Linked DNA regions of Caenorhabditis elegans. The protein of the gene in region 2 interacts with the protein of the main gene of each other region in a pairwise test. Each region holds a gene or a part of one and is shown on either strand. Other genes may lie near its edges.

Region 1 (7,481 bases), on a different chromosome or scaffold from region 2:
TGAAAGAAGCTCGAATATTCCTGCAGACGCAAATGGACTTGTATCGGATGTTGAGGTTCCTGAAGGCATTCTTGTCGATGTATCATCAGTTGATTGTGAAGAAGCTACCAGGAAGTACGAATTTATTTTTACAATTTAAATTTTAAAGTATTTTATTTTAGGGTTCTAGACGAAGAAAATGTTCGTGATATTGGAGAACTTCAAGATCTCGTAGAAGGATACCGTACCCAGAATCAGTTTTTGAATGCGGAAATAGTCCAATTGCATGCTATCACTCAATCTCTGGAAGATCGAGAGAAGAAGCTGATTCGTCAAAATTTCGACCTCGAAGCCTGCTATTACCAATTAAAAAGCCGTTATTTGATGGTTCTAAACCATTTTAAGTCTCCGACAAAACCAGGAAAAAGTGAGTTTTTAAACAATTTTCTGTTATAATATAATCACTTTTGCTCTACAGTAATGGAACCTGGTGTGTTGAAAGAATTACTCGAAGAGTCGGCAAGAACACCTCGAGAATCTCAGCAAAACCTCACGGATCAGTTGGGATTCTATAAAAAGGATGATTTTTCTGAAAGCGATGATCTTTTGGATACTGCCACGTTTTACATGAAAAAAGCGGGAGACGTAGTGGAAGCAACGAAATTGGAACAATCTGAAGAATACATGAAATGGTTACAATCGTGGGATGCGTTCCTTGTCAACAATACAGTATCCCGGCAGACTGCAATCATGTCTTCACCTGATCTAAAAACTCTTATTCGAACTGGAGTACCACCTGCCTACAGAGGTCGTGTATGGAAGATAATTGTGACACATTGGGTGAAGGATAAGCAAGCAGAATTGGGTAATGGATACTATCAAAGTATGCTCAGAAAGGCTGGAACAAAGAAGCAGGATGGAAGTTACGATGCAGCCATCAAACAGGTATATTTATATTATTCTAAATTCGAGTTTCTCATATTATTTTTTCAGATTGATCTTGACCTCGCTCGAACTCTGCCCACGAATAAACTTTTCGACGAGCCAGATTCTGCTAACATAGAAAAACTACGAAACGTACTCTACGCCTTCCGATACCATAACTCTCACGTCGGCTACTGCCAAGGACTCAATCGTCTTGCTGCAATTGCTCTGTTAAACCTGGATGAGCAGGATTCGTTCTGGTTCCTTGTAGCATGTGTGGAACATCTCCAACCTGAAGGATATTACACTAGCTCACTGATCGGAGCGGTTGCCGATCAGAAAGTTCTCCGCGATCTTGTAGCAGAAAAGCTTCCAAAATTGGCTGCACATTTGAGAGCTCTTGAAGTTGATCTTTCACTTTTCGCGCTCAGTTGGTTCCTGACGTGTTTTGTAGATGTACTCCCGCATTCTATTTATCTGACTATATTCGATGCATTCCTCTATGAAGGAAATAAGGTTCTTTTTCGATTCGCACTGGCACTTTTCAAAATATGCGAACCTCACGTTCTTCAATGTAAAACTATTGGTTTGTGACTTACAACTTTAAATTTATTAGTTTTTTAACAAGAATTTTCAGGCACAGTTCATCAATGTCTCAGCAAAGCTCAAGAACATATCATTGACTTCAAGTCGCTAGCTCAAGTGGCATTCAACGAACTGAATCCGTTCCCTCAGAAGACTATAGAAACTAAACGACAACTCTATTTGACACAATTGAAGGTAAACAGTAATATATAAATAAATTCTAATATAGCGATTATTATTTTCAGGATACTGGCCACTGTATGTAAATCCGACACGAACATTCTTGTACATCTAATCTGTATTTTCTTTCGATTTCTAGCATAATTATGTCTTCTTCACACAACTTTTTCACTATTATTTTCAAACTTCTGTGATTCTCCTTTTTCCTTATCAATTTCTTTTACGGTTTACTTCCCCCCCTTCAACCCGTTTACTTGTGCTCCGTTTTTACACATGAGACTGAAAATATCAAATACGCAACATAAAATTAATCTGCAAATCATTTACTATATATTATAACTCATAATTTACATAATAATCATGCATATTCATATTCTACAGTATATAACATTATTGCTCTGATTTCATAACCTAGAAAAGTGACAATTCAAGTGGGAAAGTGCAAAAAAACTAATCTTAAAAATGTGCATCAATAAATTATGTCGATGACTTGGCACAGGTAAACATTTGGGCAAAGTAAAACAATTTGACTGGCGTTGGGGCTTATAGTGGGTAAGGTATAATTATTAAAAATCAATTGAAAGCCGATCCAAAGTCCGCAAAATCAGCGAATCCAGCCGGTTGAGTTGATTGTCCTTGTGATGGGCTGAAATTATTTAGACTTTAAATAAATTGATACTCACTAAGACTTACGCAAAAGGATCATTGACAGGTGTTTCGCGAGCAGATTTTGGAGGAGCTGGGCGAGGTGGAGCAGGTTTTGCGGGAGCCGATTGTGCGAAGCCAGAATCCGATGGGAAGCCTCCTTGAGCAAATGGATCAGTTGGGAAAGCGGCATCAAAATGTCCAGATGAGCCGAACTGATCTACTTGGGCGAATGGATCAGCAGCAGGATCTGGAAATTGAATTTATGTTATATATTCATATTTCAAAACTTTAAGTCAGAATAAAAGTTTTCATAACTCTTTTTGTTTCTTAAAAATATAAACCTACTTGCTCTGGCGGATGCAAACGGATCAGGTGGTTGTTGAACATGATTTTGAGATGATGTTCCAGCTGTTTCTCCATAAACAGTGTCATCGGATAGCAACGATTGATCGATTACAGTAGACAATAATCGTTGTTGCGACCTCAGAATTTGAACCATTTCCTCCTCGGATTTTTCGACTGCATCTGATACTTGTTCTGTTAGTTTTGTCGTGTTCTCGATTGCAGCATCCAGCTTTTCCATTTGTATCTGATCTCTTGCTTCTTTTCGTTCTAGAGTTGTCAATTCGGCCACCTTTTGCTCTCTTTGTGATGTTTCTTTGACAATTTCTCCACGAACAGTTTTGAATTGATTATCGAGCATTTCAATTTCTTTTTTCAATTCTTCCATTTCTTTTTCATCATTTGCTTTACAGTCCTCAGCATTCTTTGCATCTTCATCAATTTGTTGCATTCGTTTCTCGGTATCTTCTTTCGTTTCTTTCTGTGCTTTACATGCTGATTCTAACTGTTCTATTTGAGTATCATAATCAGCTAATCTTCGTGTGGCTTCACCTTTTTGTCGCTCCAACTGTTTAACTGTCGACTCCAAGGTGGCCAATTCAACCTGCAGATTTTTGATACTCGAGTTCTTAATAGTCATATCAGCTTCTAGTTGTAAAACAGCTTCTTCTGCAGTTTTCCGCTCCACCAGCATTGATTGAATAGACTCTGCGAGCTGCTTCATCTCTTCGTTTTCGCCTTCCAAAGCTTCTTTAATTTCCATCGAAGTTGCTTCTGGGAGCTGTGGAGTTGAAACTGATTGAGCAGGATGATGCAAAGCTGAAGGTTCCGTAGGTGGGCGGAATGAAGGTGGAATCAGATGTAAAGGCAGTTCTGATGGGATGGACTCGCCTCGTTTTGCCATGTCAAGAAGATGCATTCTGAAAATTAATATTTAGTTACACTAGATATTTGGTAAACTTGAAAGACTTACGTCAAAGCAAATTGCTCCAAATTCAACTGTCCACATTTTTTTATATCTGCTAATGCCCAGACATGTGCTAATATCTGTGCACTCAATCCAGTAGTCATCATGGGAGCTCTCATATCCATGCCATCAACCAATCCATCCTTATTCGTATCAGTTTGAGCAAATTGATCAGCATAATCTCCTGTATTGATAGGCCATTCACCAGCAGGAAATGAGTGAATCGAGTGAGAAGCAGATATCGGAGTTGATGCACCACTGGTTCGTGATCCATTCACATGAGCCTGTGCAGAGTAAGCACGACCTGGTTGTGGTGGATATGCACGTGGCATCGTTGCAGAATACGATTGACTCATGTTCACATCATCCAATGACGTCACAGATCCTGCTCTCGATCCCATCATCGGACGTGGAGGATGTGGAGGAGCAGCGAAATTCGGTGAGCTGTGAGCATACATTGCTTTCGAAGGATGAATGAGATTTGGTGGGAGCTGTGCAGGAACCGGGTCTGATTGAAGTGATCGGTATACAAGATGAAGTGCAACAGACATTTCGATTCGATCAAGGTTTCCATCTTTGTCCTGATCCGAAAGTTCCCAAATTCGAGCCAGAGCATGAGCATCAAGTCCAGAGTTCATCAGAACCGGGCGTACGTGTGCACCAGACAATTTTCCGTTTACAGGATTCAATGATTGGAAGATGGAGTCATATTTAGCCTGAAATAATTACAAGAATATTTGATCAAATCTGTAAAGGAAAATAACTGTCAATTCTCTATTCGTGCCAATAGAAAGATTTTTTAAAAGTTTTTAATTCTCAGTTTTTGCTACCTGGTCAGTTGGTGTTATCGGCCATTGTGGTGGAAAAGCTGACGATGGATGAGCTGGAGAAGATTGTTGAGAAGAGATCGAATAAGGATGTGATGGATGTGGTGGTGGTGGCACTGGAGGAGCACGGCCAACCTGAATAATAACACTTAGAAATAGAGGAACCACTTTTCAGTCAAACCGATGGGAACGATGGTTGGAAATGATGCTGCATGTTTGCTGGTGGTACAGGTGGTGCAAACCGTGGTGGCTGAAGGGAAGAATCGTAGAGGGAAGAATTGGCGACGGGCTTCCCTGAAATATTTTGCTGTTAAGGTTACTTTTGAGCATATCGTATTTTCAACAAAATATGATTCCAAATAGGTAATAAAAGTTACCTTGTTGAGCAGCTGCGACTAGTTTAAAAGCAACAAATGCTCCTCTCTTATCTAATGATCCAACTTTTTGAGAGTCGCTAAGCTCCCATATCTGGCCTAACACAGGCATCGCCAAGTTTGATTTTTTAAGGAAAGTAGCTGCTTCTGCAGCTCCTATTCTTGGTGCTCCGTGAGGGTTCATCTGGAATATAACAATTGTTAACGTATTACAAATTGTTAAATATTTACCTCTGCGAATGCGTGATTAAAAACATCATTGTGCGGTGTAGCTATCGCGTATGAATCATCCATGTTGAAAGCTGAAACATTCCAGATAATAAAAGAAAAAAATTAAATATAGTGAAATTTAAGACTATTTTTAAATGAAACAGAAATAAAAGAAAGTTCACTAAAATGTATTGAAGATTGTTAAAAAGAAGAAGGCGTTGCGAGGAATAACGTCGTGTGTCTTCTGAATGAAAGCTCTCTCTCTGCGCCTCTCAACTACTTCCGAGCACTCTAGTACATCGATTTTCCGTCTCTTTTAAGCTTTCGTTTCCTTTTCATGTCGGTCCCTTTTCTCTTTTGGTGAACCAACGGAGGAAGAGAATGTGAAATATGCAAAAGTATTGAGTTTCAGTGGGAAGAGTCCCGGCCCTCTATGATAATGATTACAAAACAAATATATTGATTTAAATTGTAGCCAATTTTTGAAACAGGAATATATTTAACATTTTTCATTAACGGTGAGATAAAAAAATATCCCAATAACCCTATAATATATAATTATTATAAATAAACTAATTCGCAAAAGACTAAACCTGAATGACTCATTGTCGCAGTTTGTCGTCACTGTGTTTACACACACATTGTCAAGTTAATTTTATTCTGTCAAAACGGGAGAAAATAATCTGCGTATAATGCAATATTGTTTGCAATATATATTGTAATATTGTTTGCAATATATATTGCAAATAAAGCGTCTACATCGTAATTATTGAAAATAGTGATAAAATTAAATATTCAACAGATAGCATTAAAAAATCTTGCAACAGTAAATGAGAGAATTAATTAAAATCGTTAAATTAAAAACAATTAATTCTGAAAATTAAAATTTTCACTGTCGCGGACGAGTTTTCAGAAGCGCTCTATTGATAATTGTGAAAAACTTCGGCCGTGAACAACACGAGGACAATATCAAGAAACAGGCGAGCATTCGAAATATATTATTTGTAAATACAAGCAAAATAAATCAAATACACCCGTTAGTGGAATGTTTTCCTATATCATACATCTAATTTGAATATAAAACTCAAATTATCGTATCCCCATTGGCGAAATTTTCCGATTTTAACACCCAAAATACGGTACCGGGTCTCGACACGACTGATTTTTTTGAATTTAAAATCGTGTCTTTGAGGAGTACTGTAGTTTATTTCAATTTTCCAAGATTACCTTCTCATGTCCCCAGAATTAATTTAGTGAAAATCAAGGGAAACACAGGACACAATAAAACATTGAGTTTCGAAGACCTGGGACTAATTAAACAAAAGTAAGCCTGAAACCGCCTATCCTGAACCGAATGGCAATTTTGAAACTACTCCAGTTAGCTAGAAAAATATATATTTTGAGCAATAAAAATGTTTTCCGAGTAATCGAATGATAAACACAACAATGAAAATGAATAATTGTTTATTAATAATTGTTAGATTGTTAGATAGATAAAATGAAAGTTCTTTCAAATGCAGTCAGCTCCATCTTTCATCATCTCTTATCTATGAATTCAAGGCATTGCATATGATCTTGTTGATAATTCTGAAATCTAAAAAATTCGTTCTGTTAGTTCTCTAGAAACGGCTCTCGAACATACAACTTCTTCTCAAAATGATACATGCGAGGAAGTTCTGTAACAAAGTATTCAAAGAAAGTTCGTATATCACAATATCATATTTTGAAATTTGGAAACATGGTAGACAATATTATTTTTCAAATTATAAAATCAGCAACCAGTGAATCAGGAAAAAAATTATTTAGAAGTTCTATGGGTTGTATTCGATCGGAAGATTCTTGCAAGAAATATCTGTAGAAACAACGAAGCGACGAAGCCAGCTGATCTAGAGGATAAGCGACAAGTGTATATATATTCAATTTACAGAAAGAAACAACACAGGCATTAAACAATATTTATTTTACAAGGAACCTATGGGTTGTATTCGATTGGCAGATTCTTGCGGCGAACCATACCATCTCCCTGGAACCACTCGCGGCGGAACTGCTTGGCAGCTCCATCCGGAGTGTTAGTCCATTCGACGGTGATACGGTCGTTGTTGGTGTCTTCCTGTCCAAATGCGAATGCATCACACGAAACAGCCAACAGCACAGCTTCCTTTGGGTCGAGAACTCCACATGGTGGATCAACTCCAAGTCTCTTCATGTTGGTGGTTTGGTCTTGACGTTTTTAATGAACTTTTACATTTTATCATATTTTTGAAAATAAAAATAAAATTAATCGTTTTTAGAAATTTTCATTAATTTATGACCCCTTACAATGTAAATTGTCCAGTTTTCCGTTGCGCCCCGACTGGGCGGAATTTCTAGAATTTCAGAAAATTATACATAGTACTATATTTTTTGGCAAACGGAAATTCTGCTATTGCTGAAACTTCAAACTTT
Region 2 (7,909 bases):
GGATTTTATCCTAAAATCAGCATTTTCTAGTTGAAAAATCGATTTAAAACCCACTAAATCTCGGTGAGGCTTACACTACAAACTACAAAATCGGTTTAGCCTCAACCAATTTGGGTGAGGCTAATGGGAGTTGTAGTTTGTAGTCTGAGCCTCAACCAATATTTCTAATGCTTTTTCGGTTGAAAATCGGGATTTTCTGAAGGACTTTGACACGGAAAATGTCGATTTTTGAGTATTTTTCTTGGAAATTTGAAGGAAAATTCGAATTTTAGCGTTGAAAACCTATAAATTTGAAGGATTTTATCCTAAAATCAGCATTTTCTAGTTGAAAAATCGATTTAAAACCCACTAAATCTCGGTGAGGCTTACACTACAAACTACAAAATCGGTTTAGCCTCAACCAATTTGGGTGAGGCTAATGGGAGTTGTAGTTTGTAGTCTGAGCCTCAACCAATATTTCTAATGCTTTTTCGGTTAAAAATCGGGATTTTCTGAAATTTTTATGGATTTTTTTTAGAAAAAAAATGCTAAAAACGATCAATTTTTCTAAACAATTTGTTGTTTCCTTCCTTAATTACAGATAAAAAAGAAAAAAATTGTATTTTTCGTTAGGTAAGGCTCAGGCTACAAACTACAGAATCTGCCTCAACCACAATTTTTTCCTACGTTTTTGACGATTTTTTTGGCAAAACTATGCCAAAATTTGAAGTTTTCGCCCCAAAAAATGGCATATTTTTGCACTAAAAACTCCATTTCCCACTAAATTCCTATTGATTTCTTTCAGATTGACATTCGATTCGCGGCTCCACCACACAAAGGAATCTACACGTACAATTTGTCGGTCAAATCGGATTCCTATATGGATGCGGAGTATAGTGTTGATTTTAAGGTGATTTTTGATTGAAAATGACGGATTTTAATGCGAAAAATTGTAAAAAATTATATTTTCAGGCGAATTTCTCCTCAAAAAATCCATTTTCGACACAAAAAGCAGCAAATTTCTCAACAATAAATTCAAAATTATTGCAGATCGACGTGAAAGAGGCGAAATTCGTCGAAATCAAGCACGACGACTACGTGGATGAGGACGATGAAGCCGTCGAAGTGTCGTCGGACGATGATTATACAGAAGACGATGACTCGGATGAAGAGTAGCGAAATGCTCCAACAATTGCTCTCCAAATTATTCGTTAATTTATTTTTCAATTTTTCTTCAGTGGCCCCCCATTGTTCTCCCGCACTTTTCTCCAAAAAAATTTCAATCAATTTCTCTACTGGGTTTTCTGTTCTTCTAAAAGTAATTAAATTAAATATTTTATTTAAAAAAATTTGTATGTTTTCGTGTTCCCTATGCATTATTATTTCTATTCCCTTCCCACCAATCACATCACTTTTGAAAATGTTTCCTCTACATAGTTACATGAAATTTAGACCCTTTTTTCTATGCTTCAATTAAAAAGAATTTCAGAGACAGGAGCCCGAGATTTTTTAAATTCATATCATAAATATTATATACCACTAAAAAAAGGAGAAAGAGAGAGAGAAGACGACAAGAATTGATGTGAATTCCACGTGGAAAAGAGAAAAGGCGCTCCAGCGCTATATCACAAGGAAACAGGGGCGAGCGAGTAGAAAAGGAAACTTGTACACTAGGGGGGAAGGACGGGGGAAAACATAAAATATTTAAATTATGGGAATCAAACAAACAAAGAAGAAAACATCAATAAATTATCGATTAATTACTGCTGATACGGCGACTGGCGGTATCCCGTGGCAGATGGTCCTCGTGCGAATGGATTTCCTCCCGGGGCTCCGGCGGCTCCCGGTGGCGGTGCTCCGACTGGTGGGAATCCGGTTGGCGGTGGTCCGTAGGCTCCTGGGCCTCCTGGAGGTGGTGGTCCGAATCCTCCTGGGCCTCCTTGTGGTGGTCCGTACGATCCTGGGGCTCCTGGGCCTCCTGGCGGTGGTGGACCGTAGCCTCCTGGGCCTCCCGGCCCCTGTGGTGCTCCGAAGGCGGATGGTGGTGGAGCAAAAGCGCCCGGTGGTCCCGATTGTGGTGGAGGGGCAAAGTTTCCTGGAGCACTTGATACTGGCGGCGGTGGCCCTCCGAACGATTGTGGTGATGGAGCATGGAATTGCTGGGGTGGTGGAGCTCCGAAGGATCCTTGTGGTGGTCCTCCCTGTGGTGGCCCTTGTGGCGGTGCTCCAAATCCTTGCTGGGGAGCTCCCTGCGGTGGTGGGGCTCCGAATTGCTGCTGCTGCTGCTGTGGTGGAGCATATCCTCCATACTCTGATGGTGGTCCAGACGGTGGTGGCCCGCCAAACTGCTGCGGTGGAGCAAATCCTTGCTGCTGCACTGGAGTCGACGAGATCGAAGAGTGCGACGCCATCGGTGGTGGTGGAGCCTGGAATTGTTGCTGCTGCTGCTGTGGAGGCGGTGGAGCAAACTCCTGAACTGGTGGGCTCGCCGCATTCGACGTTGGGAACGACGGGATCGTCGCGTTCGGTGGCGGAATCGCTCCGAATTGCTCAATTGGTGGCGGTGGCTGGGAGCTGAAGCTAGTGTTCAGATCATCGGGAATTTGCTGATGTGGTGGTGGAGCATAGTGATTCTCCAACGGAATCTCCTCCTCAACGTGCGCCGGGCGATGATTGAATTGCTCGTGAACCGACGGTTGGATCGTCGCCGGGAGCTCGGCCTTCTCGGAAGGCACTGGCGATGGTGGAGCCGCTTCGAAGCTCTTTTGGAACACAATATTGTCGTGGTGAGATTGTTTTGGAGCCGAGAGATTCGCCACCGATGTGTTCGATTGTTCGGCGATCTGGGCAACGTCGAGAGCACTGAGAGCGCCAAGAAGCTTTCCAACATCAAGCTGAAAGAAAAATTGAATTAAAATTCGTTTTTCGCTAGCTGTAGTACTAGAAATTCCAATTTTTAGCCATTTTGTGTTAAAAATATTGAAAAAAAAAACCGATTATTTGGATAATTTTGTTTAAAAATCAATGAAAACGCTGAAATTTCTCCAATTTTTCAGTGAAAAACCAAAGATTTTGTGAATTTTAAAAACAAAATTGGTTGAGGCTCACACTATAAACAAAAAAAAGCTGCATAGCCTCACTCAAGCTTTAGCTAATTTGGTTGAGGCTAAAGCTACAAACTACAAAATCACCATAGCCTCACTCAAGCTTTAGCTAATTTGGTTGAGGCTAAAGCTACAAACTACAAAATCACCATAGCCTCACTCAAGCTTTAGCTAATTTGGTTGAGGCTAAAGCTACAAACTACAAAATCACCATAGCCTCACTCAAGCTTTGGCTAGTTTGGTTGAGGCTCACACTACAAACTACACTTGTTTCTTAGCCTCAACCAACATTTTTCAGTGTTTTTCCGGATTTTTTTTTGTCTAAAAAGCTCAAAAATGCAGCATTTTCGATGAAAATTCTGCAACATTTTGCATTTTCCCGCTCAAAATTGCGCTTTTCAGCTCAAAAATCGTTTTTTTTCGCTCAAAATCCTCCTTACCTTAATCTGCTCGACTTGCTTCTGCACATCGTGCACAGCCTCACGAGCTCTCGAGTCGACAACGACGGTCACGTCGAGCGTGGCTCCAGACGTGTGAAGAGCCAGCAGGAGGTCGCTATCCTCGGCGAGTGTCACCAAATCGCCTTCTAAAATTGACAAAAATTGAATTAAAATCGCAATTTTCAGTGCAATTCCTACCTTCATCCTTGTACTTCAACACGAAATTCGCGTCGGATGGGAGAGCCAAAAGCCGCTGCACATTGAGCACGAGATCGATGAGTGTCAAGTCGTTGGCGTGGTGAAGTGACGTCTTGCGGACGACGTCGGCGTGACGAGCCTTCAGAATTGTGCTCGTGATGGCTCCGTTTGAATGCACCATCTGGAAAAAACGGGGGTTTTTTAAAGGGAAAATTGGGTTTTGCGGGAGAAAAAGAAAGAAAAAAGCAAAAAAAAACCGGCGAAAATCAACTAGAAATCAAGAATTAAACACAGAATCCGAATTTTGGTGAGGCTCAGGCTACAAACTACGAAATTGGCTCAGCCTCACCCAAGTTTATCCGGAGCTCATATTTTTACGAAAATTTTGGATTTTCATGTGTTTTGACAGGAAAATTCGACTTTTTAGTTGAAATTCGACCTAAACGAGATCAAAGTTTCAAAATTAGAGCGGGAGTAGGCCAAAAATATGGTTTCATCGATTTTTAGGCGATTTTCCTATCGAAAATCTAAATTTTCGGCTCTAAAACCCACTTGAAACGCTATTTTCTAAGATTTTAAAGCAAGAAACCGGCAGAAATCAAGAAATAAAATAGTTCCACGTGTAATATAATAAAGCAATTCCATCGGAATCTCTAGATTTTCGCGGGTTTTCGGTATAAAAATCGGGATATGGCACATAAAATAAGTAAAGATCACGAAAATAGATCAAAATCTTCAAGATAATATTGAAAAAATTGCGAAACTAGGTCTAAAAAAATTCCACACGGATTTTCATCGTTTTTTGCCGGTTTTCTGGGGTTTTTTTATGGTGAAAATATCGATTTTAACCTCTAATACTCACTTTTCTTGCTATTTTTATGGATTTTCTGCAAGAAAACCAAGGAAAAATGGGAAAATAACGGGAAGAAAAACGATCCAAATCCGCGATATAAAATTCCACGTTCGGTAAAAGTGCGCCGCAGTTGCAACACGCGTGCCAGGATTGCAAATAGGGTACGCCCCCCGGCTAGACTCCGCCTTTTCAGTTATTCTTTTCGCGATTTTTTGAATTTCAATAGTTATCGTGTGGATTTTTCGCGTTTTCTGAAAAAATATGATAAAATCCTCTAATTTCAGCTCAAAAATGTCGAATTCTGACGATGAAATACAGGAAATTGAGGCTAAACGACAGAAAAGTAAGGCTTTGCAGCTGGAAATTCAAAATATTTGAATTTTAAATCAAATAAAATATATTTCAGTGTCCCAAGAAGATTCCGAGGTCGAAATCGAGATTCTAGATGAGCCGGAGCAAGGAAAACTGAAAAATTCGTCGAGTAAACCCGAAAAATCAATAAATTAAGGCGAAAATCCGCGATTTTTCAGTGAGCGACGAGCAAAAACTGCATGAATTTGCAATAATCACGGCCACAGATGAGGCTTTTGCGCAGTCGATTTTACAGGATGTAGACTGGGATTTGAAGAAGGCTCTGGACGTTTTTTACGGGAGTGAGGCGTTCGCAGAGGCCAGAAGTGCGGCCGTAATGGGCGCTTCATCGTCTATGGCGAGCTCTGGAGCTGCGGTGATGACGGCAGAGGATTTGAAGGTTAATAGAAGAATATTTGGAGCAAAATCAAGCCAAACCACCTAAAAACATCGATTTTCGAGTTAAAAAACCTCAAAAATGCTGCAATTTCCGTAAAATTTCAGTGATTTTTCACAGAAATCATTGAAAATTTGAAAAAAATCACTTTTTCAACCGGAATTCCGAAAAAAAAAATTGGTTGAGGCTCAGGCTACAAACTACAAAATCGGCCGAGCCTCACCAAAAATTTCCAAAGCGAAATCTGGCGAAAATACTTGAAATTTTCCTCATTTTTTATCAAAAAAACTAAAATTTCCATAAATTTTCATAGATTTCCTTCAAAAATCAGTAGAAAAACTAAAAAAAAATCACGCTTTCAACCGGAATTCCGAAAAAAAATTGGTTGAGGCTAAGACTACAAACTACAAAATCGGTATAGCCTCACCAAACATTTCCGAAGCATAATACTCGAAATTTCCCTCATTTTTCTTCAAAAAAGCTCAAATTTCCATAAAATTTCATGAATTTCCTTCGAAAATCTTTAGAAAAACTGAAAAAAATCACGCTTTTAACCTGAATTCCGAAAAAAAAATTGGTTGAGGCTAAGACTACAAACTACAAACTCGGCTTAGCCTCACCAAAAAAAAATTCACTTTTTTCGCGATTTTTCCAACAAATTTCAAATTTTTTCAGGGATTCGAAGTCAGCGTAATGTCGTGGAACATTGATGGGCTCGACGGGAGAAGCTTGCTCACAAGAATGAAAGCAGTGGCTCATATTGTCAAAAAGTGAGCAAAATCGGCGATTTTTCACGGAATTTTCAAATTTTTAGTTGATTTTGATGCAAAATCAGCAAAAAAATCACTAAAAACCGTCAAAAATCTTCAAAAATCAACCTGAAACGCCAAAAAAAAATTTCAGCGTCAATCCGGACATCCTATTCCTCCAAGAAGTCGTCGACCGTGATTTGGCGCCGATTGATAAGCTTCAATCGCTGTATAAAATCTATTATTCGAACAAAGGCTGCCAATATTATACGGCGATTCTTGTGTCGAAAATGTTCGACGTCGAGAAGCATGACGTCATTCATTTTCAGAATTCTGGAATGTACAGAACTTTGCAGATTTTGGAGGGATCTATTGGCGGTTTGAAGGTTAATTTTTCAGAAAATAGACGAAATTTTAAGAAAAAATCCCGGAAAACCGCTAAAAATGAGTGAAAATGATGGTTGAGGCTACCCAAATTTGTAATTTGTAGCCTGAGCCTCAATCAATTTTTATCGCAATAATCGAATTTTTCAGTTTTTTACTGAAAAAAAAGATTTTTTGAAAAATTCTCGCATTTTAATCCATTTTTTCAAAACAAAATATAAAAATTCCCGTAAAAATCAATCAATTTCCGCAAAAAATACCTTAAAATCGAGCAAAATGTATATTGGTTGAGGCTAACCACATTTGTAGTTTGTAGTGTAGGCCTCAACCAATTTTTCCCCTCAAATGTTTTCCCTCTTGTTTTTCTTGCAAAAAACTTCAAATTTTTACAGAAAATGGGATTTTCCACTGAAAAAATCTAGATTTTCAGGTTTTAAAATCAATTTTCGGTCAAATTTTACGGAAAATCCCTATGTCTTCCTGAAAATCTCTTTTTTGTTGTAAGATTTTCGAGATATAATTGATTTTTTTCAATCAGAATTCTGCAATTTCTAGCTGAAAATCACAGTATGTAGTGTGAGTTCGAAAAAAATTCGTTGAAACTTTGGTGAGGCTAACCAAATGTGTAGTTTGTAGCCTGAGCTTCAATCAATTTTATTTGTAATTTTTTTGAATTTTTCAATGATTTTTGTCGGAAATACATGAAATGTTATGGAAATTTGAGCTTTTTTGAGAAAAAATGTGGGAAATTTCGAGTATTTTCACCAGATTTCGCTCCGGAAATGTTTGGTGAGGCTAAGCCGATTTTGTAGTTTGTAGCCTGAGCCTCAACCAATTTTTTTTTCGGAATTCTGGTTAAAACCCTGATTCTTTCAGTTTTTCTTCTGATTTTTGAGGGAAATCCCTAGAATTTTGAAAATTTGGAGCTTTTTTTGAAGAAAAATGAGGGAAATTTCGAGTATTTTCATCAGATTTCGCTTCGGAAATGTTTGGTGAGGCTAAGCCGAGTTTGTAGTTTGTAACCTGAGCCACAACCACTTTCCCGAAAAAAAACTGAAGAATTTCCTCGTTTTAATTGATTTTTTTGAAAGAAAACTGAACATTTCTATTAAAATCATTCGCTTTTCGGCAAATTTAACAAATTTTTGTAGTTTGTAGCCTGAGCCTCAACCAATTTTCTCGTTTTTTGCAGGTATTCCTACTTAACACCCATCTCGAATCAACACGTGAGCACCGCCCGCAACGTTGTGCTCAATTCGGCTTCTGCATGGACAAAGTCCGTGAAATCATCGCTCAAAACCCGGGCGCCCTCGTCTTTTTCGGCGGCGATTTGAACTTACGAGACGAGGAGGTCAGCCGTGTGCCTGACGGTGTTAAGGATGCCTGGGAGGCTGCCGGCAGTGATAATAAGACAAAATTCACGTGGGACACCTTCAAAAATGACAATAAACAGG
Region 3 (8,873 bases), on a different chromosome or scaffold from region 2:
CTGGGGGTCAGTAGTGGTATATAAATAGAATGGAAGACGCTACTATATTCGTTGATGTGATTATTTTTTGCGAATGTTTATTTTTTTATTTCCACAATATTTTCGATTTTGCAGAATTCAAACAGAAATGCGACCCCTGTCAACACTAAATATTTTCGTCGTATTGTATTCTTTCGTACCAGGTGAGATAAGCATCAGTTAATATCATCAAATGAAAACTCAAAAGCTTTTGCCTTATTTTGCACCTAATTGTTCAACTTTGTCAGTTTATATCTCAGATGTCGTTTGTTTTATTAAAAAATTTTCAACTGACAAAATATTTATTATTTCTTTTTCTATAGTTTTGTAGTTAAATATTCATTGTTATCTTCAAAATGAACCAAGATATAAGTTTTCGAAGTAAAGTAGTCGGGCGCATGTCTGTTAGAAAACATACGCTATACAAAACAGAAAGTATATCACTATTCCAATTTAAAGATGCACGTATCTTTTACAAAATTTAGCAATTTATATCTCAAGGCTACGGTACCCGGTCTCGATACGATTCAATGTTTAGTAAATAAATACAGTAATAAGGAGTATACGCCTTTAAAGAGTACGGTACCTTCCACTTCTCGCCGCGTCTGGCAAGTAGTTGACTTAATTTGACTTTTTAGTGGTTCATTGATAGTAAACGTGACCTCTAAAACGAGTATTAAAATGTTATGAAAACAAGTTATTAGAGAACAAATTAGATAATATGATATCAGAATGAATATCGCACTTTCCGAGTCGGGAGAAAAAATTGTTCGGATCAAAAATCAAACAAAATTCGATTTTCGATTTGTTTGAGCTACAAATGTATTTCCTTAGATGTTAAGAAAACCTAAAAACCACATTTTCCAGAAAAAATTGGTGAACTGCCAAGTTTTTCAATAAAAAAAACTTAGACTTTTTGAGATATTTCGAGAATTTCCGCAGGTTCGGTCTCCTGTAAAGTTTGAATAAAAATTACTTTTAAAATAATTAAATTGAAGAGTGAAAATAAAGTTTTCATTACAAAAAACGTTTCATTTCAGAAATATGCTCATTCAGTCTACTTGATAGAGTAAATGGAAAAGATATTCGAACGAGTATTCCCGATTTTCGAACTTCCGACGCCGACGTTGGAATGAGATCGGTTAGTTTTTGACTAAGATTTTCAGTTAAATTTTTGAAAATTTCAGGCTCATTTTATTGGCTCATTCCGGGGCCAACCGATAAAAACACGTCAACACCATGCTTTTATAGACGATAATGGGTGAGTTTAAAATTGGAGATGATTTTAAAAATTAAGAAAAAAGGAAATTACTACCCATACGCGAGTTTTTGCGATTTCCGCTCCAAAACTACGGTACTCGGTCTCAACACGCTTTTTCTTTGTGAAATACAAACATGTGTGCGTCTTTAAAGGTTACTGTAGTTTCAAACTTTAGTTGCTGCGCGGAGTTTTCATCGATTTTTCCTAGTTTTTTATTTAAAACTTATTTATTTATTATTAAACACTAAAATAGAATAAGTAAATTTTAGCAAATCGTAAGAAAAACTGTTGGAAAACAATTAAAATTTCACAGTACCGAAGTTTTGAGAATACAGTAACCTTTAAAGGCGCCCACCCGCATGTATTTTACAAACAATTGTCGTGACGAGACCTGGTGCTGTATTTTTTGCACAAAAATTGAAAAACTTCACGTCTTGGTGATGAAAAATATTAATAAAAGTGGATTTCAGTGTTCCAATTCCATTGCTGCCTTACCACGAACACTTTGCCACGTCTGCAGAATCTTCGTCACATCATCAGAAGCTGAAAGCGTTGGCGCGTGAACACAAAATCCTCAAATGGGCCAAGGAAATCGGTGGCATCGCTAAAAAACGGAGAAGGCGAAGTGGATGGAGTGGATGAAGATGTTCTTGTTTTCTCTAATTGATCAACAACAACAATACGGGACACTTCTGTTTGAATTTTGAGATTTATCGGAAACATAAATATTTGAAGATCGTTTTTCGAACCAACATCATCAGTATTATGCATTGTTTGATGGGGAAGAGAAAGGGGATAGAGAAAAAGAGGAAAACGGGCGGGATTATAGAGATACTTTAGAAAGTGGGGGAGAAGGGAGATAGTATAAGAAAGAAAGAACGGTGACACAATTTTAAAAAATCAGGATTTTCTGCCAAAAATTTCAATTTTCAACAAAATCATGACAGAAAAGGGATGACGAATTGAATTCGAACAGACCAAAGGATGGAACTCGAGTTACGGAATCCTTGTAGGATTGGGGGAATTCTTTAGCAAAAAAAACAACAAAAAAGAAAAGAAAAACAACAAAACGTTTCAACAACAAATCGGGATAGACATGAGGGGGTTTCTTTTAAAGCTTTCGCAGTTGGAATTCGGTGGGATGGTGGTATTAGCATGGGATGGAATGAATAGAGATCGAAGTGAATTTTGTTTGGGCGAGCGGGATATTTGAAAGATTCTTGAAAATCGGAGGAAGTTTTTGTTGTCGTTGGACATCGGTGCCAATCAAAATCCAACGATTTTACTTACGTTTATTCTGGAAACTTGATGGGAATTAGTTTTTTTTTTCAATTTATTAAAATACAAACCTGATAGTTTCCACGTTGTCCTCCTCCTGATCCTCCACCATGTCCACGTGAGTAACCTCCACGACCACCACCACGTCCACTGCCTCCACTTCCTCCAGACGATCGTCCACGATAGCTACCAGTAGAATTTCCGCCATAACTATGGCTATAGTTCTGACCGTATCCTCTACCGCCACTGCGATTTTCTGAATTGTGACGAGATTTATGTGACTGATTGTCTTGTTCGACTATTTGATCGGGAACATCCGGTACAGTATCATCCTGATCATCACTTATTTCCTGCGGATCGATCGGCTTCTGCGAAGACTCTCGAGATTTTGCCACACGTTCTTCTTCTTTCTTTTTTGGACAAATTAGAGGGTGATGACCTTGTTCTCCAGTCGCCTCACAATGCCCGCATTTGATCTTTTTCATATGCTCACACCACAAATCACCATTATCCTTGCGAATACTGAAATTAAATTTTTAATTTTTATAAATTAGAATTTTTAATCTTACTTATGGGAAGACACTTCTTCAGCAGGCAACTGGTAATGTTCACATCGATAACAGTGTAGTTCAGATTTCGAAGTAACATCATCTTTAGACTGAATATCATCCGTTTTCGGATTTTCCTCGCTTATTTCAGTTTTTGTCGCTTCGATAGATGCTTCTTGATCAACTTTAAAATCTTTCTTTGGGGTCTTCTTCCGATGTTTAGGAGTGCTTGACCGACTTGGTGATTCAGAATTTTCAGTCGAAGTTTGATCATCTTTCGATTCGACTAACTGAAGGATCTGTTTACTTGGTGATCCTGCACGTGAGCTAACTGGTTGAAGATGTTCAATTCTATTGGTAAGCTGTGTAACTGATTCATCCACTTGTTGACTGTCGGATTGATATTGACTTGATGAATCAAAATTTCCTCGATTTTGTGGATAACTTTGAGAAGAATTGTAGCTTTGATTAGAATTTTGACGAGAATGTTGGTATCCGTGACCTCGTGAACCACCTCTTCCTCTTCCTGATCCAGCATTTCCACCTCTTCCAGAATTGAAGTAGCCCATCGGCTGTTGCTGTTGCATTCCAAAACCTCCACGTATTGGTCCTCCCATTTGATTAATTTGTCCACTCATTTGATACGGCGGGCCTCCCATGAGCGGCTCAACACCTCCTGGACGTCTACCTTGCTGTTGCATTTGTTGCATTTGATGGTGAGGCGGCGGAACCATTTGCATATATTGTTGCGGTAGATATTGTCCTGGATGCTGTTGTTGGGTCATTTGTGCATTCATATGAGGATGATTTTGCTGATGGGGATGATTCATCATAGAAGCAGCAGCATGAGGTGGTGGTGGGCCTCCTTGTGGCATTCCGTATGGTTGCATTTGCTGAAACATCTGAGGAATTGTTGTTTGTTCTTTTTAAAAAAAGTGTAACTCTGTGAAATTGTCAAAATATAATATAAAATCTTCCCCTAATTTTTTTAAAGTTGTACCTGCATCTGATGTTGCATTTGGACGGCTTGTTGTTGATCCATTTGTTGATGTTGTTGCTGAGGCTGCGTGAAGTTTCCTGGTGGAGCGTAACCGACAGGCATCTGATTCCAGAGTGGGTTCGATACAAAATCCTGTTGATGGTAGCCTTGTTGAGGTTGTTGTTCATTCTGATGTTGATGTTGCTGACCATCGTCCTCATTTTGACTGTTTCGTTTACTTTTGCGAGCATTTCCTCCGTCTTTTTCCAAACTGCTAGCTCCACCAGCTGGCTCTTGCCGGAACACTCGTGGTGCTGGCACAGGAACATACACCATTGGATACAGCATTGGATGTTGTTGCTGCTGCTGTTGATTCTGTGGATTGTGAGGCATCATTTGAATAATTTGGCCTTGCGGGCCTTGTGGACCCCTATACTGTCCATAAGATTGAGCATTGTGTGGCGGTGGTGGCCGTTGCTGGATTACTGGTCCAGCATAATATTGAGCTTGTCCACTATGTCCCTGCTGTTGATAGGTATTTCCTGGAGGAGGTCCTTGTCCACGGTACTGATCAATTTCATAGTTGCCACTGTTCATCATTTGCTGCTGATTTTGTGGTGGTGGCCCTGCTTGAGGATCTAAAATTATGCTTTTGAACAGAACACAGTAAGTTTGCACCAACTATATTGTGGCCGACCATCGAAATTATCGTTGGGGCCATGAATGACAAAATTATTGTTTCCACCGTTGTTGTCATCCGCGTATCCACTTGGCGGACCACCGCTTTCCATTTGTTGATACTGCTGAAAATAAAGAATTTGCAAAATGTCTATCAACTCTTCTCATTATTTTCCTGTAGATATAATTTCCAAATCATAACGCTCATTAAAAAATTATTATGAGCTAGAAATAATTGAGGAGCCCGTAATTCTCCATACCCGATAGCCTCCTGGTGGTCCTCTTTGGTATTGTCCACCATCGGATCCACCTCCAAACTGCTGCTGTTGATCATATCCTTCTTGTGGTGGTGGTTGTTGTTGCTGATAGCCGGGCGCGCCGACGGTTCCTCCGTAATATGTCATACCATTTGGTGGTCCAGTATGTGGCGGCTGTGGGCGCATTTGAGAGAATTGCTGTTGACCGCTGTTCCGATGATAAGCTGCTCGATGCTGAAAATGAATGAGATAAATTACATGTTTGATATTTCACTGATTTGAAAAATCTCTCAATTCTCTTAAAACCTTGCGCACCTCAAAAGTGTTCTTTTTCTGACTTATCTTTTTTCGATAGGATTTTCAATAGTTTCCTACTTACAAATCCTGGCGGAGCACGTGTCTGTTGAGGTGTGCCCTTTTGGTCGTCAGTCCCTAGCCCAGAATCTGGTGTTGTCCTAGTGGTGTTTCCTGGCGGCTCTGAATACTCAAACGAAATTGCTGACGACACGTTGGCAGTCGAGTTCGGCACCGAATCAGTCGTTGAGGTATGATGGGGGTTGTTGTTGTTTTGGTTTGAGTTTGCAGCGCTGCCGCCGTTTTTCTTGTTGTTATTATTATAGACGGTTGGGGCACGTTGTTGTTGCTGCTGTGAATGTTGCTGGAACTGCTGTCCAGACATTACCAAGTGAACGTTGACTGTAAATGTTGACTATCGAAGTGTTTTAAAATATGCAATATGTTTAGAAAAAGAGAATCAGCAAAATTTTATCGGAATCTATGTTTTCAAAAATAAGGAGCTCAATTGGCAAAGAGTATCAAAGAAAATGAGAAATTGAAAAAGGAACATGTGATTTTGGTAAAACTAGTTTTTAGTTCTCAGTTGAGTGGAAATAACAGAAAAAAACATACTCGGAACACTTTGTGTGTAGAAATGTAATAATTGCATATTTTTCCAGAGTTTATATTGCAAAATGATAATGTTACTAGTTTAAGATAACTCTTATTTGAAGGCGGCAAGGTAATAAGAGAACAAAAAGGTTAGAAATCTATAAAAAGCGTCGGCGAACGCTAATAAATTCATCGATAAAATGCCGAAATGGGTGGGCACTTAAAGGCGCGTAGAATTAAACGGGAAGTGGGTCTCGCAGCGAATAAGTACGGTGACACTTGTTTCGGCATTAGTGTCGATTTACGGAGTCGTTTTTTTAGATCATTTGATAGATTTTAAGTAAATTTCACCTATTTTCTATTCTTTTCATCAACCTTTACAGTTTAAATTATGTTATTCTTATTTTTAACTCTTGATCCCTCAAATAACTGCGTTACTAAAACATTTTAAGGTGAAATGACTGAACCTATCAAGGAAATTGCCGCGAAAAGAAGTGTCGAAGCAGTTTACACCGGAGGAACTGTCAGATGGAGTGCAAATGGTCAGAAACTTTTTTCTACATGCACAAATGTTGTGAAAGTGATTGATCTGGCTGACAATACTGCAAGGTATGTGATGTTGCGACAGAACTTTAAAACAAGTTTCACCCACAAAACTAGAAGTAGATTGATTATGATTATTTGAAAAATTGAATATGAATAATTTTGAAGTTTAATAAAATAAATTAAATTTGAAATGCATCAAATCTTTTGCAGCTATACCATCGGCGACCCTGAAGATGAGCTACGCATTACGTGCACAGCTGTCGACAAGAACAGAAATCGCCTTTTGGTCGCCTATAACAATCAAATAATTCGTGAATACTCAATTCCTTTGGATCCGTCGACAACTAAACCAGAGTTGGCCAGAACATGGAAAACCATACACACTGCTCCTATTCTCGTTATGGAATTCAATGAGGAGGGCCATTTACTGGCGACTGGAAGTGCCGATCACATCGTGAAAGTCTGGAATCTGACAGAGCAACAATGTACACACACATTAAAAGGACCCTCGGTAGTTTCAGCAATTCTGTTCGGAAAACATGAAAAGCTTGTCGTTGGATACATTGAAGGACAATTGAACCTCTATAATATAATGAGAGGTGCTCCGAAAAAACTTGTAAACACATGGAAAAGTCATAATTCTCATATTACCGCACTGCTTCAAGTTCCGGATTCACGAGTTGTTGTGGCTCTTTCGCGAGATCAGACGATGAGTATTCATGAAACAGAAACTCAAGAAACACTCCGAGTTCTTCCACTCTACGAATCAATTGAAGGCGGAGCAATCGGACATAACGGAAATCTTTTCACTGTTGGAGAAGAGGGTGTTGTTAAGGAATTTGTGATTGAAACTGCGAAGTTGGTCAGAAAGAAAAGGATTGCCAGCTCGAATCTCGATCACTTGGCCTACGATGTTGTTTCTAATCGCTTTTTGGCAATTTCCGCCGAACAAAATCTTATAATTTTGGATTTTGAAAATCTGAAAATTGCAAGACAAATTGTTGGATTCCATGACGAAGTGAGTTTTATAGTTGACCTTGAAAGAAAAACAATGATTGCAAATTGGAATTGAAAACCATTTGTTGATATCATTTTTGTCATATCAAGTTGCTTTAATGTATAATTTTTCGAATGTAAATCTTTTATACAAAATTCGTAAAAAAACACCGAAAAACGAAAATATTTGATTTTATCATTTTTTTAATAATTTTTTCTTTGAATATTACCACTTTTAATATGCTCTCAAATTGCCAAGTAATATTTCTACGAATAGTAATAATTGGATTTAAGAACCTTCTTAATTATTATTCCCTATCTTCAGATCTATTCGTGCTGTCTTCTTGGAAAAGATGAATCTCACATGGCTGTCGCTTCCAATACTTCTGAAATCCGACTCTACAACACTAAAACCCTGGATTGTCAATTAATTCGTGGTCACACAGAATCAGTTCTTTCCGTAGTATCTCCTACCTGGGACACATCTCTACTGGCATCATGTTCTAAAGATAATTCGATTATCTTTTGGAGACTTGTAACATCTCCTGAAAATGACTCTTGCTCCACTCTGGTCCCAGTTGCGGCAGCTACAGGACATGCAAATACAGTAACTGCTCTAGCGATTTCCAATACCGGACGAGCTCCTTTCCTGGCATCAGTATCAACGGATTGTACTATCAAATTGTGGGGATTGGGAGTTTCTACAAAACTAAAAGAAGTCAAAATTGATGCAGAAAAAGATTTTGTCGAACAGCTGTAAGTTTGAAAACATTTTTATTGCGAAAATAATTCACTTTCCAGCCCAAAACTGACATGCAGTTCAACAATGGTTGCACATGGAAAAGATGTGAATTGTGTTGATATTTCCGAATCGGATGCTCTTATTGCCACTGGAGGAATGGATAAACTAGTAAAATTATGGCAAGTGGATACTCACAAAATGCAATTGGGAATCGCTGGAACTCTATCAGGACATCGTCGTGGAGTTGGAGATGTTAAATTTGCAAAGAATTCTCACAAACTTGCATCTTGCAGTGGAGATATGACCATTAAAATCTGGAACATCTCGGAAAAATCTTGTCTTCAAACCATTTCCGGACATTCTTGTGCTGTATTCCGAGTGATATTCGCTCGCAACGATTCTCAGTTGATCTCTGCAGACAGTGCTGGAATCATCAAGATTTGGACAATCAAAACTGCTGATTGTGAATGTTCCATTGATGCGCATACTGACAAAATTTGGTCGCTTTCGAAAAATCATAACGAGTCAGAGTTTGTGACTGCTGGAACTGATGGGCGGATTGTTGTCTGGAAGGATGTTACAGAGGAGAAACAAAAAGCCGAGGATAATAAGAGAAGAGAGGCTATTGAACAAGATCAGACTTTGACAAATTTATTGAGTCAGAAGAGATATTCGGAAGCTC

Evidence for each region. The genes of interacting proteins can lie anywhere in the genome.
Region 1: the proteins of tfg-1 (region 2) and ehs-1 interact in a two-hybrid assay, tested with the Caenorhabditis elegans proteins (one large-scale study listed by BioGRID).
Region 3: the proteins of tfg-1 (region 2) and nos-3 interact in a two-hybrid assay, tested with the Caenorhabditis elegans proteins (one large-scale study listed by BioGRID).

The regions. Positions count from the first base shown.
Region 1 is NC_003280.10:5,818,359-5,825,839, reverse strand, and holds ehs-1 (Eps15 (endocytosis protein) Homologous Sequence), read right to left. Parts: upstream 5,129-7,481; 5' UTR 5,121-5,128; coding exon 5,058-5,120; intron 5,011-5,057; coding exon 4,830-5,010; intron 4,747-4,829; coding exon 4,634-4,746; intron 4,588-4,633; coding exon 4,456-4,587; intron 4,342-4,455; coding exon 3,632-4,341; intron 3,579-3,631; coding exon 2,662-3,578; intron 2,564-2,661; coding exon 2,362-2,563; exon of another isoform or gene 2,315-2,361; coding exon 2,242-2,314; 3' UTR 1,978-2,241; downstream 1-1,977. Other genes in the region: tbc-2 (PH domain-containing protein), read left to right, coding at 1-114, 162-406, 458-924, 973-1,489, 1,541-1,683, 1,734-1,754; ZK1248.4 (MSP domain-containing protein), read right to left, coding at 7,009-7,242.
Region 2 is NC_003279.8:14,098,040-14,105,948, reverse strand, and holds tfg-1 (Protein tfg-1), read right to left. Parts: upstream 4,628-7,909; 5' UTR 4,584-4,627; intron 3,903-4,583; coding exon 3,722-3,902; intron 3,670-3,721; coding exon 3,524-3,669; intron 2,874-3,523; coding exon 1,740-2,873; 3' UTR 1,479-1,739; downstream 1-1,478. Other genes in the region: dnj-29 (J domain-containing protein), read left to right, coding at 785-889, 1,030-1,155; tdpt-1 (5'-tyrosyl-DNA phosphodiesterase), read left to right, coding at 4,866-4,917, 4,981-5,055, 5,105-5,325, 5,998-6,092, 6,226-6,457, 7,648-7,909.
Region 3 is NC_003280.10:9,743,559-9,752,431, reverse strand, and holds nos-3 (Nanos-type domain-containing protein), read right to left. Parts: upstream 6,117-8,873; 5' UTR 5,966-6,116; coding exon 5,929-5,965; intron 5,731-5,928; exon of another isoform or gene 5,716-5,730; coding exon 5,399-5,715; intron 5,254-5,398; coding exon 5,023-5,253; intron 4,888-5,022; coding exon 4,767-4,887; intron 4,723-4,766; coding exon 4,106-4,722; intron 4,008-4,105; coding exon 3,127-4,007; intron 3,080-3,126; coding exon 2,629-3,079; intron 2,584-2,628; coding exon 2,572-2,583; coding exon of another isoform or gene 2,562-2,571; 3' UTR 1,978-2,561; downstream 1-1,977. Other genes in the region: Y53C12B.7 (uncharacterized protein), read left to right, coding at 128-182, 1,059-1,159, 1,206-1,279, 1,750-1,921; Y53C12B.1 (U3 small nucleolar RNA-associated protein 13 C-terminal domain-containing protein), read left to right, coding at 6,365-6,516, 6,664-7,471, 7,775-8,205, 8,251-8,873.